4 linked regions of the Caenorhabditis elegans genome follow. The protein of the gene in region 3 purifies or fractionates together with the protein of the main gene of each other region. This does not show direct contact. Each region holds a gene or a part of one and is shown on either strand. Other genes may lie near its edges. The genes, in order: pho-8, nex-3, hint-1 and K07C5.2.

Region 1 (4,591 bases), on a different chromosome or scaffold from region 3:
CAACACCTGGTCGCTCTTTTTCTCTCCCACACTCTCATCTGGTGGGGATTCAGAAGAAAACAACACACAAAAAATGAAGAATAGATGAACAATAAACAAAATGATAGGAATTACGTTCTTTATCTGTTTATTTTCAGCGAGCATGATGGAGTGCCAGATGATTTACTGAAAGTGTATACAGCATCTGGATGTATGAAAGTTGTGGATTCTGTGCTCACTGAAAGAACACCTACAGCCACAATTGATTTTACACCAAACTTTATTGGTAAGCCTTTAATACAACAAAATGTGATATACATATGAGCACTTGCGTACTGTCAAATCAAAAATGAAAACGTTTCTATTTACCCGTTAAATGTTCAGAAAATTATTTACAATATCTAAAAGTGCAAAGAGCAATACCGTTATTCCACACAAAAATAGAGAAAAATACACCAAGGATATTTGTCGTCAATCTTTACTCAACTCTTTTGGGTTTTCTAAATTTGCTCTATAAAACATTAACCATTTAAAATGTAAGATAGCAATAATTTATTTAATGGTTCCATGGGAACCAATGTTAAGATCTAGTTCATTTTGAATAAAATAAACTCGCTAAGAGAAATGGTAAGAAAAATGATAAAGAGTTGAACGTGTAAGACGAGTTTCCACATGCTTTGAGAGGAGTCCCGCATAACTGAAAATATGCGAACTTTGGTCTATAATGAGAAGATTATGCTTACCGTCATCATATCCGAGTAGTTTGTAACTGTCATATTTGAAAAAGCCACTGCCAATTGCGACACTTCACAAGGTTCCGGGCATCGGGAAAGCGGAATTCTGTATGGATCCGATGTAGTCTCATTTCGATAGTAGAGCTGAATAAATTAAAATGAACCATCAGCATTAATTTGAAAGAAAATATAAATAATTTTTTGTTAACCAAGTTTCCTAATAAAACTTATTTCAATTGAACAACTAACCTCAGAATAAAATTTTCCGTTGTCTGAATAAACATGCATGATAAGTGCAGCCGCATAAGGAACCATCATCTCATTTGAAGCACGGAATGCATTGAGAAGTGCAAGAAGAACACCATCATGCTGAAATTAATATAATAGATTTTCTCAGTTTCCATTAGATTTTACCGAAGAATAAAGAAGCATTCTCTGATCATTTCTGCTCTCAGAAACTGCAATTGCATTTTGAATCCAATTGTAAAGAACGGAGCCTCCTTCAAGTTTTCCTTTCTCTTCTGAATTAAATAGATTCATCATTCGAACGGTCCTCATTTCAGTTATAATGTCCATTGAAGTACGATTGTCATATTGAGGCCAGGTTTGTGTAACCCAATAAGGCTGTTTTGCAGTCATGTTATGAATCAACTCTCTTTGTATATCGAATAATCCATTAATATCCATATATGAACAGTGTTTGAATCCTGTAGTTTGAGAAAGTTCACTGAAGAAGTCTGCATACTTAACACTATAATAAGCGTTTGATTCTTGATCGCCTTGAGCCACTAAAACTTCATGACGAGCACATTTTATCGCAGTTGGTTTGCACACCTGAATCAGTTTATCTTAGTAAATGTAGTCTATAATGAATAGTCACTCTCCGGAAATAGAAATTGGGCTTCAAAATGTTTTATCAGTTGTTCTTACGTACTTTCTAATCTCTTTTGTCTTTCTGACGCATTTGTGATAAAACCTCATAAGAACAACTTTAGTTTAAATCTAAAAATCAACGGTTACCAAATCAGGTTCTCCTGGAGTAGATGCATGTACTGGAAGAGGTTGCCAGTCTATATCTGAGCTCCATTGATAACCACCAGAAGCTGGGTATAGCCCGTAAAGAAATGCTTGTGCAGATACCAAAGCACGATCAGAATCGGAAGAGCGCAGGTAGACCTACAAATTTCAAGAGTTTAATTTACAGATATGGTATTGAGTTTCTTACTTCTTTCACTGAAAAATTAGACGGAATAAATGAAGAGTCCACGTATTGGTGTCGGAAGAACTCTCCGAGCTCGTGAAGTTGTTGCATTCCAATCTAAAATAAATAGGTTTTTAAGGCAAAGTAGCGCCAGTGAAGGTTTTGTCAACGTGTATTTGAAATCAATCAGAAAAACTAATTAAAACACTATAAGATATTTGAGATTTTCATAATTTATAGTCAGTTCTAAAAAACTATATCCAAAATTTATAACCAAAAATTTTGACACTTTTCCTGTGATATTTGGTTATTTGAGCGTCACTGGGAGATGTTAAACATTTTTTCTGCTCCGTTTTTTAGGTCACTCTTTATAGCTGAAACAAATTAAATGTAATTATAATTTTATTGTGATATGATAGAAGATCGCGTAAGAACTCACAAATATTCAACAAGTACATTTCTTTAAAAGTTTAATAAAACAAACCGAAGTCAACTGCCCCCATCCCCTTGACCAAGCTTTTTCTGTGTACTGGTCATTTGGATACGGTAAGTGTAGAGGAGCACGGTCTCCATGTCGCCACAGTGCTTGTACAAACTCAAGTTTCCTAGATTCTATATTATTGAACACGGCAAGAAATATGACAAGTCCTTGTATCAACATCATCACGTCGTCTAGAAATCTCTGCAAAAAATTGAAAAAGTGAATACCGGACAGAAAAGTCGCAAAAAAGGGGACGAGTTCTCATGCAGGTCTATCAGGTTACATACAAGAATCGCACGCTATCTGATGACGGAAATTCTGATTCTTTTGACGTCGTCGAAATTGAGACGAGTATGTTCCAAAATAGAGCAAAAGTGCGGTGTAGTTGGATTTAAATAGAAAGTGAAAGTGGGGAGGAGTCGAAAGACTGTTAATTGTATGAAGTTTTGTTATCAGTTAACATTTTACTCCCACGGAAAAAAATGATTTTTTATCTAAAACGAATACTGGGTTTGAAGTTCCCGAATTTGGAAACAAATACGGAGAATTTTGTCGATCGGTCTTGAAATTTTAGTGCAGCAAAAAACAGTAGTGCCCGCCAATGTTCTATTCGCTGGTAGCTTATCGATGATGTTTGTGGTATTTTCTAGCATTTTTTACAAAGTTATGTATTTTCGAATATGCTACCTCACCTAGCACCTCGCGAGTTTATTTATGACTACTACTCTTTGAATCCATGTAACTGAATACATTTTTATTCAACCCATTATAATCAAAAAATAATCTACATACATCTATTGCTTAATTTTAATTGTCATGTTCTTAAGTCGTCAGGAAACTTACATTAGGGACACAATTTTAACTTGCAGAATGCAATTATGATCGAATTGTTCCGAATATTGCTTTTCAGCAAAAAAATTGTTTGAAATATATATATTGATAAAGAAATGACAATAAATCGAAAGTTAGGAAAGATCATAAGTACATTTATTTCAAAAAACGAACAAATACATCCAAAAAATGAAGCTCACAAAATTGATACGGTCGAAAAAACGCAAAAATGTTATCTCTCCTTGCATTTTAATCTTCTTAGACATACATCAGAGCCATGAAGAAAATGTTCAGTATAGTTGCAAAAATAGTTGATTCCACGTGCAAACTAGGCGCATCCAGGCGAGAAATATCCACAAAGTCATTTAAAATTCCAAATTTCACAAACTCATCCGATTAGTACCCCCGCGTTTTCATGACCTCACGTGTTGTTTCAGGAACAAAGAAGCTTGTCGTTTCTGTTGTGAATACCAATACATTGAAGTTAGAACGAGGGTTTTTGGTTTACGGAAAGTCTGAAGCGCCACGGATTACGCAGAAGTTTGTCATACAAATTCCATCATCTGATGAAGCTATTAGAAAGGTTTGTTGAATTTATATAATATTGAATGTTAAAGATTTTTAGTTTGGATCGACAGTAATTTCCAAACATTTCAAACTATTATTTTAACTAAAATAACAAGAATTTTTTAAAGTCAAAATCGCTCACTAAATTTAATTTTTTTGGGGCATGAAACTGTGATTTTCATGATACTTCTTTATTTGGCTAGCATGCAACAGACAACTTTCAGAATAAGGTAAAAAATCCGTTCAAACTAAACACATCTAACATTAAAATAAATAACATTTTTTCAAAATTTGTGTACAGTAAGAATGTTTTTGTTTACTGTTATTCATTGTCATGCTAGCAAATAATTAAAATTTGAAATGAATCAGAGAAACAACAGATAACAAAATTCAAATTTAGACTATAAGGAGGTTTTTTTTCAATTTGAAAACAAACCGATGGACTGAACAACTCAAATGTATGTGTGTTCTCTGTGTTGGTTTCCGAGAACTTTAAGCATTTCCCTGACAGTCCTAATAAGTCAATGAAAAATATTCAACTTCTTAGAGTGTGAAAAATTTGTCGAAGAAGTTTATGTATAAAATAACGAAGTACAACTATTTTCCTGGTAGAATAGTCTAAAGCTCTTACAACAATCATTAATATTATAGAAACTGTTCATCTCAATTGATTTCAATTTTACATAGTTTGAAAAAAAAACAAAGTGAGGTCCTTTAGAATATGGCGTTTTCTAGGGTTATAAACCTATTTGGATATTGTATAATTTAAGCTTATATGAGAAATCCTTATTTAAATGA
Region 2 (4,316 bases), on a different chromosome or scaffold from region 3:
GAATGCCGATGAACGAGGAACACGCCAATTTTCGATCCATGTGAGGGTCACTATGAAGAACAAAAGAAATGGAATCTAAAAGGAAACGGAAAAGGCGTCGGGAGGGGACCTTATGGATAATTATAGTCTGCAGTTTTGCTACATAACAAATTTTTGAATTTGATTCAAGGGGAGAATCTTAAAAAGATCAAGAGTTCGTGATGAAACAGAGAATGGCCAAAATTATGGACTGGCACATTAATTGAAACATTGTTCTACAGTGAAATAAATATTTTTCTGCATTTAGTTTAACAGACTTTTAAATGAGTCTAATCAGAAATTCTATAGAAAAATATTTCGATTAATAATCGGGGTTTTGAGGTACAATTGCTTCAGGTCCTGTTCTGTTCTAACCGACTCGGGAGATGTCAGCTGCTCGAAAATCATAAGAAATTTATAATGGGATGTTGACCAGCATTGAACGTGGGACATGTAATGCTAATTTTCAAGAAAACTTTGTGAGCACTTTTTGGAATTGTCGCTTGTCATTTTTCAAACTTTTATTAAAATAAAAACGTTTAGAAATAGATTTTATAAAGTAGTTTCAATGTAAAGCAATTTCAAACAGAAAGCATTTTAATCGATAGTTTGTATTTCATTTTCTAAGGTCTTGGATTTCCCTTGACAAGCATCGTCAAACCATCACGGTATTCTGCCTTGCACTCCTCCTTGATTAGCTGCAATTTTATGAAATTTATAAAGAGAAACCAATATGGTTTTCTATAGAAAATATTACGAACATCGCTCTGGGGATCTTAAATAGAAATTTGTATTTTGAACTGTATTTGGAAATATCAACATATTTTTTGTTCTATTTTCAGTACACATTTTGGCGTAAACGTTGCAGGTAATATCAGTCTACTTGATAGGCTCACCTGAGTCAATGGTTTTCCAAAAAGAGTTTGAAATTCGTGTTCAATGATCACCAAATCATTTTCCGATCGGGATACCAGAATACGAATAAGATCCTTGTCACGTGTTCCCATTCCCTGAAAACATGAATATTTCCTGAACTTTGAGGGTTTTTATCTAGAATGTTTTTAGCGTTACCAGCTTTAGTTTAACTCTTTTCCTATATCTTCATAGTTGATTAATTTTATCTAAAGCCTTACGCCTACACGCGTGCCTACTACATTGCTTACTTCTGTGCCTACTTCCGTGCCTACGTAGGAAGTTAAGCACGATATGTGTGTAGACTTGTGAAAGTTCCTACATGTAACAAAAAGATAAATGTTTAAATCAAATCAGGAAATTTTTGTCATTTACCTAAAGTCAAATTTCTCTGAACTAAGATTTCAAATATCTTGCACCTACCTTGGTTGCCAAATGAATCGAATTTGCAAAATATCGAGGCTTATTTCTCGAAGTCTCAATAAGAGACAACACCAAATTCTTGAAATCTCCGCTGAGCTCCTTGTCAATAAGTTTCTGGAACTCTTTTCCAGATTGTCTCTCGACTTCTTCAATAACTTTTTGAATATGAGCTCCATTGCATGTTGCAAAGATCTTGAACGCATCGAATTTTTCGACTCCAGACTTTTTGTCAAAACTTTTCAGAATTTGAGCAGCGTGAGGCCCAACTTTGAATGTATCAGCGAATCCACCTTCTTCGCGTTTTGCTTGGAGAATGACAATGAGAAGACGCCGGAAGTCTCCAGAAGTATCAGCAGAAATTGCATCTTCCAATGATTTGGAGTAAGTCATGAAGTAAGTGTTTCTAGAAAAAACATATGTTGATATTAATTTTTTTAAGGACATTTTCTAGAAAACAACTTTAAAATTATCATTGGGTTCGTTTTCGGGAGACCTAACTAGCTTTCAAAAGCCTACGCACAGGAATTACGACTGATTCATACTTTTGAAATCTCCGCCTTTCTGCGTGCCTACGTTATACCTTGCTTCGGGACCTACATCAAGACTGTCTGCCTATGCCTTATTCATAACCATAGTGCTGTCTGGGTTATGTTTGTCTACCCACGGACCTACCTTATGCCTGCCTAAGTGCCTACTCTGCACCAAATCGCTGCCTACCTATGTGTTTTCACGTTCCCGCCTGATGTCTATACCATGCCTACTTCCCAATTGTTTCTGTTGTTGTAAAATTTAGTTTTGACTTCAAGCTTCTAATTTCGAAAAACTTTTTAAAAACTAACTTCGCCGCTTCAATTTCCTCGTTAGTCCTAGTTGTCAGAATTTCGATCAAATTTTTCTCATTTGTTCCAAGACCCTTCACAGATCGATTCAGCTCAGTCACGTCTAGTTTAGTAGGAGTTTGAAGTAGAGCAACGAGAAAATCTTCGAAATCTCCAGAAAATGCTTTTTTGATTTCATCTTCCAAATCCTTTCCGTAACGAGTTTTGTAGGGTGTGCGGATCTGGAAATATGGAGCTTTTAGACATAGGCAGGTGAGTAGGCAGGCATGCCTACCTACCATTAAAATCTTACCATCTGTCTCTGTGTATTATTAACCGAAACCAAGATTTCCAAAATCTTCAGTTTCTCCTTGTTTCTAAGAGCCTTCTCTAGTTGCTCCGAGGCGGCAACCTACAATTTTCGGCTTAACTTTACTAGTTTCCCACAGGCTTACCTCATCAAAATACGGCTTGAAATGGATCTTTGCAGTTGCCATTATGTCGGTTTTCTAGAACTTTGAGGTATATATTTCAGGTAGACTTTTTGAGGTATTTGGATAATGGGAGAATTGAATGTGGTAAAGAATTTTGCACTTTTGGATCAGGGATTACACGACAGTTCAATATAGTACAAAGAAAAAGTGAACCGAATTTGCTTGTAAAATATGATGTATCAAGTATGTGTGAACACGGCCAATGCATCAAATTTTATGAGCAAATCTATAGAATGTGGGAAGTGCAGTACTTTCTGAATGCTTTATTGATAGCGTTTCAGATTTATTTTTTTTAGGATTTTTAAAGTAAATATTTTAATTTTCCTAAAACGCCTAATAGCTCCCTATGAGGCTGGCAGAATTCAAGATTCTCGTAATTTCGCAGTTGGATAATATTTTTTATTTATTTTCTTCGTAGGGAAGTTTCAAGTATTACGTCCACCAATGAGTGTAAATATTTGTGAAACATTGAAAAGAAGTCTGCAAAATAGTGGAAAATTGACGTCAGTTCATCTTTGATTCCTACTTTTTAAACGGAAATAAAATTAAATTGAAAGAGATTCATAACTGGTTATGCTTCGAAAATAAGGCAGAAATATATTGAGAACGAAATAACTGCGATGAGTCATTTGAAACTGTCTGAACACTTTTATTGTCCACAAAAATAGGGAGTGGTTTTTCGAAAAAGAGACCTTCGAAAAGAAAAGAGATGTGATGATGAGTCAGTGGAATTTTAGAAAAGAAATTTTGAAATACTTTTGATTTCGAAATTAAATAGAATTTTTGGGGAAACTTTCCTAACTTTGACAATTAGAAAATTTAACAATTTTGCTACAAAAAAAATTATAGCTTATTATTTGTCATTGGTATTTTTTAAGGTATTCTGGGAAATTCAAACATTTTCGTTATTTTTCTAGAATTTTGCGTGAAAAATGATGAAAAATTAAAATTAAAATTGAATCAAAAACCGTTTTCTTCCCACTATATCATGTCACTATATCATGCACTTCTTAACTTAATTTTAAAATTAAAAAGAAATATTAAAAGCAACAGAAAAGTGGAAAAAACTTGAATTTACGGTTTTACCTAACGAGACCCAATGTTTAGGGGCGGAGCGTTTAAAATTGGCGTTGGGGCGAGATTGATTTTCGATTTCGAAAGGCGTTTTTTGCGTCCCCCTAATATGACTTTTGATTTTTTTTTTTTGCAAAATAGATTCTTGCACGAAAATTTTCGGGAATATTGTTACAGAACACTTGTGAGGAAATTTGAATGTTTCACTATCACATTATTCACGAAAATTGACAGAAATATAAAGGTCTGAGAATATTATGAAAACTTATTATTTAAAATTCTGCTCAAAAATCGCAAAATAAATGCTCTGCGGATATATTGAAATTCCAAGTTCTATAAAATTGCAAAAACTTGTGAAATACCTGCCCAAATGCGAACAGATCATCATTTTCGTGTCTTTTCAAAAAGGTTGGCAGACACTTTGAAAGAGAAAGTGAGGATATTCGGAACGAATTCAATTGAAATGGTCACGGTTGAAAAGGAATTATACATTATTGATGCTAGTTAGGATATGTATAGGCTTCTATTGTGAATTACAATTGAGATCAATTTAGAGAAAATATTCTTCAAAAATATC
Region 3 (3,200 bases):
CAGAAGGTGTCGAATTTCTAGCAAAGTGGTTTCCATTGATATTGAAGTTTTCATCTTCCTCATCAAATCCGCAAAGGCTTCTGATACAGAGAACCACAAGGCTCAACAAAGCTTGAAACACACCGCAAGTTATGCAAAAGAAGATAACGAAAATCAATAAGAGTGGAAGAAGATCTGAAAAAAATTGAACTATACAAAAAGATCAGCCCAATGCGGGGCTCGAACCCGCGACAACCAGATTAAGAGTCTGGTGCTCTACCGGCTGAGCTAACCGGGCCCGGCGACATTCATATTTCATGACATTTAAAAACTCTTTCTTTGCCATTGAAACACGTGACACTTACACTGCCCGTCTCCTTTCTCCCACTCCAAGTACAAGTCAGTTGCGTTGACGATCGAATCGTTACTATTTTTGTCAGGAATCGTCAGAATTGATTTCACTTTATCGTACAGCGTCATATTTTATACCAGAAATGATTAATTGTTTCAATAATTGAACACGTCAGATAGAAGAAAAAGAATGCATTTATTTCAAAAAACATGATGCCACGGTTTAAAATAGTTTTGGAAATAAATATAAATATAATTTTTTACTGATTTGTTTACAAGACTGATAATGAATTAGTGGCAGAATGTAAGCAATGCAATATTTATCCAGGTGGCCATTGGAGCTGACGTCCTCCCAAAACGTGGAGATGAAGATGGAAAACTGATTGAGCTCCATCTTTTCCATTGTTCACAACAACACGGTATCCATTGGCCATGCCGAGCTGCTTTGCAACCTGGAATTTTATTTAAGAGTAATATAATGGAGATTTCTGGATTTTCAAATTCGTTTTTACTCATTTATAATTACCTTTGAAGCAGTAACCATAAGCTTTCCAATAAGCGCAGCATCCGAATCAACGGCATTCTCGAGCATATCAATGCGACGCTTAGGGATCACAAGAAAATGAATTGGAGCTTGTGGAGAGACATCATGGAATGCGAGAGCCTTAAATAAATATTTTATGTGATCGTTTGCCTGATCTTACATACCTCATCATCTTCAAAAATGATTTTCGCTGGAATCTCTTTTCGAATTATTTTTCCGAAAAGAGTGTCGTTGGCTTGAACATCTTTGTTAATTGCCGCCAAGTGGGCTTTATCTACTTCCGACATGTTTCTCTTTGTAAACCTGAAAAATGGTGGAATCGATAAAGACACCTTGCCTACAGTAACCCTGACCTAACTGGATTACGGTAAGCAAGACGCAAAGCGGTTTTAACCAAAGAGGAAGCCATACTAAAATATTGAAAAATGGGCAAAAAATAACCAATATGCAATATATTTCAAACGATGAAAACGCTAGACAACGAGAAATAAACAATAAACATGTGAAAATAAATGCTTTAATCAGTAAAATGATACAAAAAATAATCAAAAAAGTTAACACAAGAACAAGAATTAATGTACCAGAATACAATTTGAACCCATAACGTGATTTGTCGATTGTGCAGTTTTTACTTTCGAACTGAAATAATAATTTGAATAGAAAACCAAGAATTCTCCTAGGTTTCTTCGAAAACTCGGTTTCCCTCTTACTTACCATTCATGAAATATTGATTAGAAGACAATGGCGGAAGCTCTCGAATATCTCCATTTGTGAACTGTTGATAAGCTTCACCTCCCTTTCCAATATGTAATGAAACATTTCCAATTGGTTTTCGATGAACAACCCACGCGATTAGGTCAAAATCTGCTGATAATTTCGAATTCAAATGATTCAGAAGACGTTCTTTTGGAATTGTGACAAGTACTCCATTTGTTGCTTTCAAATAATAAAAATGATGATCCGAGTTCATCTCTGTGTTGTCATGATATTGCTCCACTACTAGTTCAGGTTTTGAAAGTGCGATTTTTACTTTCATTTCAAGCACTCCTCCGAAGCATCTGACCGAGTTTTTAAAGCAATCAATTTTAAGGAGAGAATCTGGCGTGTCTGGTTTCTTTTTCACTTAAAATTAAAGTTTTTTTAAAACATTGGTAAATTGTAAAATACCTGCAATATGTGTATATGGAATCTTGAAAATGAGCCTATCTTTTGTTTCAATTCTACGAGGCAAGATATCGAAGAATGCCACGTCTCCGAGTTGAGGGGATCTTTCCAATCCTTCACACGATCTTTCTTGAAGCAAAACGTTTATAACGTCTCTTTTGGCTGTGTACAAAATTGCAAAGCCATCGATTTTTTGCACAACGGTGCATAAAGCAGATTGAGGCTGAAATATGGTGATGAAGATTAATATTATTGTTCTGGCATTACGTACTTTTTCGGAATCAGTTTTATCTTGACGAAGCAGTTGAAGCATCGTTGGAGCTAAATCTTTAATAAACGGTCTCATCGGAATATTAGATGTTCCACGTGTTCCGTATGTATCTTCATCATCAATTTCATCTTCATCTGATAACTGATTTGAATCAATAACTGGTGCTGCTCGACTTGAGATTGTAGTCTGGGACAAGGATGAATCAACTTGATTCAATTCGATACTTTGGCTTCGAAAAGTTTCCGGAGGTATTTCCCGATTCTCTGACACAACTCTAGAGGAATTGTACGAATCAGATGTCTGCGAGTTCATTTGAGAATGCACGTCTTCTTGATGTTGACTTGATTGTTGATCTTGTACGTCGGTTTCGGGTGTTTGAACATATCCATTACCAGTCATAATCTAAAAATGTGATTACTTGAAAAATTCTGAACTATAAGTCACATACATCCAACAGTCTTGTATCATGAAGATACTGTACATCAGAATCAACGACTGGATTCGGGAGCTGAAATTATATTATGTAAACTGCAGGAGGTTGTGGCTTATATGTTCTGGGAAATTTTGATAAGCAAAAACCAAAATGTGAACAATTCAAAATGAACCAGGACACTTTTGCCACATACTGATTGATATCCATTTCGGCTTACAGCATCACAGGTGTGTAGCTTTTGTGGATCTTCATGCACACTCAATGCGACCCAACCTGCCAGAGATGCTTGAGCCTGCAATATTTTTATTTTAATAGTTTTTTTTAAAATCGATAACTTACTTCAACAATAAAACTGCGTCCATCATAGTGTTGACATGATGATTTGATCAGACTAAAGTCGTCAATAATATGATCATAGGAAATATCGTAACTGGTGAAATCATACAAATTATTTTTCC
Region 4 (3,894 bases), on a different chromosome or scaffold from region 3:
AAGATACTTGGTAATATCTCTTCCTGCAATATCCAATCGTCTTGTCAAATGATGAAGAGCAAATCCTTCGTAAACAGGACAGATGTGGGTAACACCATCTCCGGAGTCAACTACAACTCCTGTCAAAAGACCTTGAGCATAAAGAGTGAGCACAGCCTGAAAATATAATCATTATGATTTTATCATGAGGATTAACTATTACCTGAACCGCCACATAGATAGAATTGAATCCATACTGCTCAAACATAACTTGAAACATTTTCTCACGATTGCTGTTCGGATTGAGTGGTGGTTCTGTCAGCAGCAGTTTACACTCTTTCGGGTCGATATCCAACTTTTCCGGTCCAAAAGTATGATCCCATACATGCGCCATATCATCCCAGTTTCTAACAATTCCGTTGTCCATGGGATAATTGATATCAAGCATTTGACGAAGCTGAGAGCACTCCTCGCCAACCATCAAATCCTGTGAGAAAACAGTTATAAGACCTTTCTGTGTAAAGTTTTACCTTAATTTCAATATTTCCAACTCTTTGTGTCGATCTCACGATTGGCCGACCGACCATTGAAGGGAATATATGAGCTGGGAAATTGGTTCCTGCATACCCGCATTTGACGAACTGCAAATACAGAATTTTTGAAAATAAAATGGGATAAAATTTTGCAACTTACACCTGTTCCGTTGTCAACGACAATCACCTTTCGCCCTTGCGAATCCATTTCGCCTGAAAATTGTTAAATCGATTGTGCGGGTTTCGAATGAGTCATAAAGAGAAGAAAAGTAAATAAATAGCAAATTTGCTTGCCAATCGATGAAACCGGTAAAAATTTCGTTTTGACACTGTCTTAGTTGGCTTAAAATAGAACAAAGTACGAACATTTAAGCAATATTTTACATTACTTAGATTTTAATTTAATGAACGAGGGTTTCTGGAAAGTAAATCTGACTATATTTAGTGGAGATCGCCGTCAAAATACGCGGAAGTCGATGGAAAAATGTTTCTACAATTTCGCGAGAATTTTTATGTTCTTCATAGAATACGAAAACAATTATAAGATTAAAATATACAGAAAAGAAATAAGGAAATTCTATTGAAATAAAAACATGACAGTTCTGTCTATAGTGGAGACGCAGGGAATTGGTTGTCGATGGAGCAGATTTGCAGCAAGAGTATCGTAGTGTAAAAACAGATTTAAAAAATCTAAATCATGAACCTTTGTTTTTTTTATTATTTTATTAGTTTTATTTATAACATTTATTTTTATTTACATGTTTACCATATTTATGATTTTTTTTACTTGTGTGATTAGTTTTTGGTAGAAATTTCTGAATATTTATGTAAAAAAACATTTTCAACATCTGTAATAAATAAGTTGCGATATGGATTGTACCGAATTATTTCCACATGAAACATGGCTTTTTATAATAAAGGCTCTTCCTCACATCCAAAATTTTAATTTCTCAGTTAATTTTAAGAAAAATGGGAAGAGACAACATAACAACTAGGATAGGTCATGTGTATATGGTAGTGTTCCTATCGTGATTGGAAATGATCACAATATAACGTCATTCTTCTGTTAATTCAATTTTTCTCTGTTTAGTAAACTTATTGAACTCTAAATACAAACTTCGCAAAGAGAGTGTTTCAATGATCGAACGCTTCGTTCAAAGTCTATGAATTACCATTGAATAGTGTAAATTACAACAAACATCACATCTTAACTTTCAAAAATTGTTCAATGAAACTTCCATTGTTTGTTGAACTGTCCCCCTCCTCCTCTACCTATCTCTTATTTATATTTAATGTCCTCTATTCTTCATTTCTTGCCATTTTTATATTCTTTTATCTCATTTAAATGTATTTTCAGACTATGAGTGTTTTCACAAATGTTGTTGGTGGTGCATTCAAGTTTTCCGATGGATACGAAATGCCAAAAATTGGTCTTGGAATCTCTCGAATTGAAACTCAACAAGATTTAGATGTCTCTATTGAAGCCGCTCTGAAATCTGGATATCGTCAATTTGACACAGCCAATCTCTACAAAAACGAAACGTTTCTTGGTAATTCCCTGAAGGTAAATTTAAACTGATTTCTGAAAAACTATTCAAACCTCTAAAATTTTAGAAATATCTACCACAATTTGGCTTGACACGTGAAGATGTGTTCATCACTACTAAAGTTCGTACTCTCAATGAAAATACTGTGGAGGAAACTGAGAAACAACTAGCCAATTCCCTTGCAACTTTGCAAACCGAGTAGGAAAATATTTGTTGAGTTATCATCAGAATTATTTCTATTTTCAGTTATGTAGATCTTCTTTTAATTCACTATCCACGTGACCGTGATACTGGAAACGATGATGACTACGAAATTAACAAAAGTAGAAGGAAAATTGTTTGGCAGACACTTGAAAAGGCAAAAGGTATGTTGGTTTCATGGTCATTTCATATAAAGTTGAGTTCCTTTTTCAACGTGGTTGGCGTTATCAATTATTTTGAAATAATAGTGGTAGATCAATCCGATCAAAAAAATCATTCTCTCATCTTACTCTAAGAATACTTTTGCAATTGCAATGTAATTAGTAGATTCCAATGTTCAGAAAATTATATTTATAAATGAAACAACCTATGAATTGATGAAGTTCCGTTTTTAGATTTTCTAAGTATAATGTTAGTATTACAACTGAGCAGTTGTGACACTTTACAAAATTCCATCTTTAAAAAAAATTAAAAATTACATTTTTCAGAGTCTGGAAGAGTTCGTTCAATTGGAGTGTCCAACTATGAAGTTTATCATCTCGTTGAAATGTTTGAGTATGCAAAAATTCGTCCAGTCCTCAATCAATACGAATACCAACCGTACTTGACTCGTCCAACTCTTAAAAAGTTCTGTGATCTGAACAATATCGTCGTTCAATCATATTCTTCTCTATGCTGGGGAGATAAAGAAATTCTTCAAGAGAAACCATTGGTCGATCTTTGTCAAAAATACAATCAGACTCCGCAAGCAATTCTCTATGCTTTTGCACACTGCAGTAATACTTCTATGATTCCAAAATCTGCAACTCCATCGAGAATTCACGATAATTTACACAATGTGAGAAACCTGTATTTTCAAACAATTTAGAATAATTTTTTTCCAGACCATAAAAATCAAATTGACCGAGGACGAGCTGAAATCTCTCAGATCTCTGGACAAGGGAAAATCATTCCCACAGATTGGTCAAACTTGGAGATGTCTATAATTTTTTTTCCATCTTAGATTTTCCATATAGGTATTTCTATTCCGATGTTCAGCATTACCTGTTAATTTTTGTATGATATAAACATTATTTAACATAGAACAATTTTTCCATAACTGCATTTTGTCAAATTATTCAGGATAGTTCAGATAGATTCAAAAACTACAGTAGTTCTAGGAATTTTTTCAAAGGAATTTTAGACATATCATCCCGCAAACTTGAAAATATATAATAATAGTACAATTCCTTTTATAAAATTTTAATTCGAAAATAGCTCAGATTTTTATTGGAGTCGTAGTACGGAGACCCGAAGAACTCGGGGGATGTCCAATTGGGGGGATTACCAACTCGGGGGATTGGCCCCGCCCACAGGACCGTGGCTTGCAATACGCCCATTTCTGCAACTGCCGCACGGTTTCGAAACTGTATTTTTCTCAATAGAGCGAGAATTAACAAGAAAAATACAGTTTCAAAACCGTGCGGCAGTTGCAGAAATGGGCGTATTGCAAGCCACGGTTCTGTCGGCGGGGCCAATCCCCCGAGTTGGTAATCCCCCCAGTTGGACATCCCCCGAGTTCTTCGGGTCTCGTAGTACGATTTTTTGATACTACTACAAGATAGAGTTTGTGGTTCCCAAAAATCCGTTTTACT

Evidence for each region.
Region 1: the proteins of hint-1 (region 3) and pho-8 fractionate together in Caenorhabditis elegans (co-fractionation; one large-scale study listed by BioGRID). This does not show direct contact.
Region 2: the proteins of hint-1 (region 3) and nex-3 fractionate together in Caenorhabditis elegans (co-fractionation; one large-scale study listed by BioGRID). This does not show direct contact.
Region 4: the proteins of hint-1 (region 3) and K07C5.2 fractionate together in Caenorhabditis elegans (co-fractionation; one large-scale study listed by BioGRID). This does not show direct contact.

Annotation. Positions count from the first base shown.
Region 1 is NC_003283.11:11,831,632-11,836,222, reverse strand, and holds pho-8 (intestinal acid PHOsphatase), read right to left. Parts: upstream 2,605-4,591; 5' UTR 2,579-2,604; coding exon 2,399-2,578; intron 2,032-2,398; coding exon 1,939-2,031; intron 1,890-1,938; coding exon 1,734-1,889; intron 1,548-1,733; coding exon 1,128-1,547; intron 1,083-1,127; coding exon 963-1,082; intron 858-962; coding exon 723-857; intron 677-722; coding exon 572-676; 3' UTR 515-571; downstream 1-514. Other genes in the region: nphp-4 (uncharacterized protein), read left to right, coding at 138-265, 3,664-3,809.
Region 2 is NC_003281.10:4,440,445-4,444,760, reverse strand, and holds nex-3 (Annexin), read right to left. Parts: upstream 2,681-4,316; 5' UTR 2,669-2,680; coding exon 2,627-2,668; intron 2,584-2,626; coding exon 2,485-2,583; intron 2,414-2,484; coding exon 2,193-2,413; intron 1,757-2,192; coding exon 1,354-1,756; intron 1,029-1,353; coding exon 915-1,028; intron 717-914; coding exon 642-716; 3' UTR 524-641; downstream 1-523.
Region 3 is NC_003279.8:7,279,151-7,282,350, forward strand, and holds hint-1 (Histidine triad nucleotide-binding protein 1), read right to left. Parts: upstream 1,178-3,200; 5' UTR 1,162-1,177; coding exon 1,039-1,161; intron 995-1,038; coding exon 857-994; intron 783-856; coding exon 651-782; 3' UTR 520-650; downstream 1-519. Other genes in the region: F21C3.7 (Small integral membrane protein), read right to left, coding at 1-174, 345-459; rde-2 (SH2 domain-containing protein), read right to left, coding at 1,503-1,513, 1,589-1,996, 2,042-2,261, 2,310-2,711, 2,758-2,817, 2,936-3,034, 3,082-3,200.
Region 4 is NC_003283.11:10,337,631-10,341,524, forward strand, and holds K07C5.2 (NADP-dependent oxidoreductase domain-containing protein), read left to right. Parts: upstream 1-1,869; 5' UTR 1,870-1,872; coding exon 1,873-2,076; intron 2,077-2,126; coding exon 2,127-2,257; intron 2,258-2,305; coding exon 2,306-2,424; intron 2,425-2,748; coding exon 2,749-3,098; intron 3,099-3,144; coding exon 3,145-3,246; 3' UTR 3,247-3,341; downstream 3,342-3,894. Other genes in the region: arx-2 (Actin-related protein 2), read right to left, coding at 1-156, 203-466, 510-620, 673-720.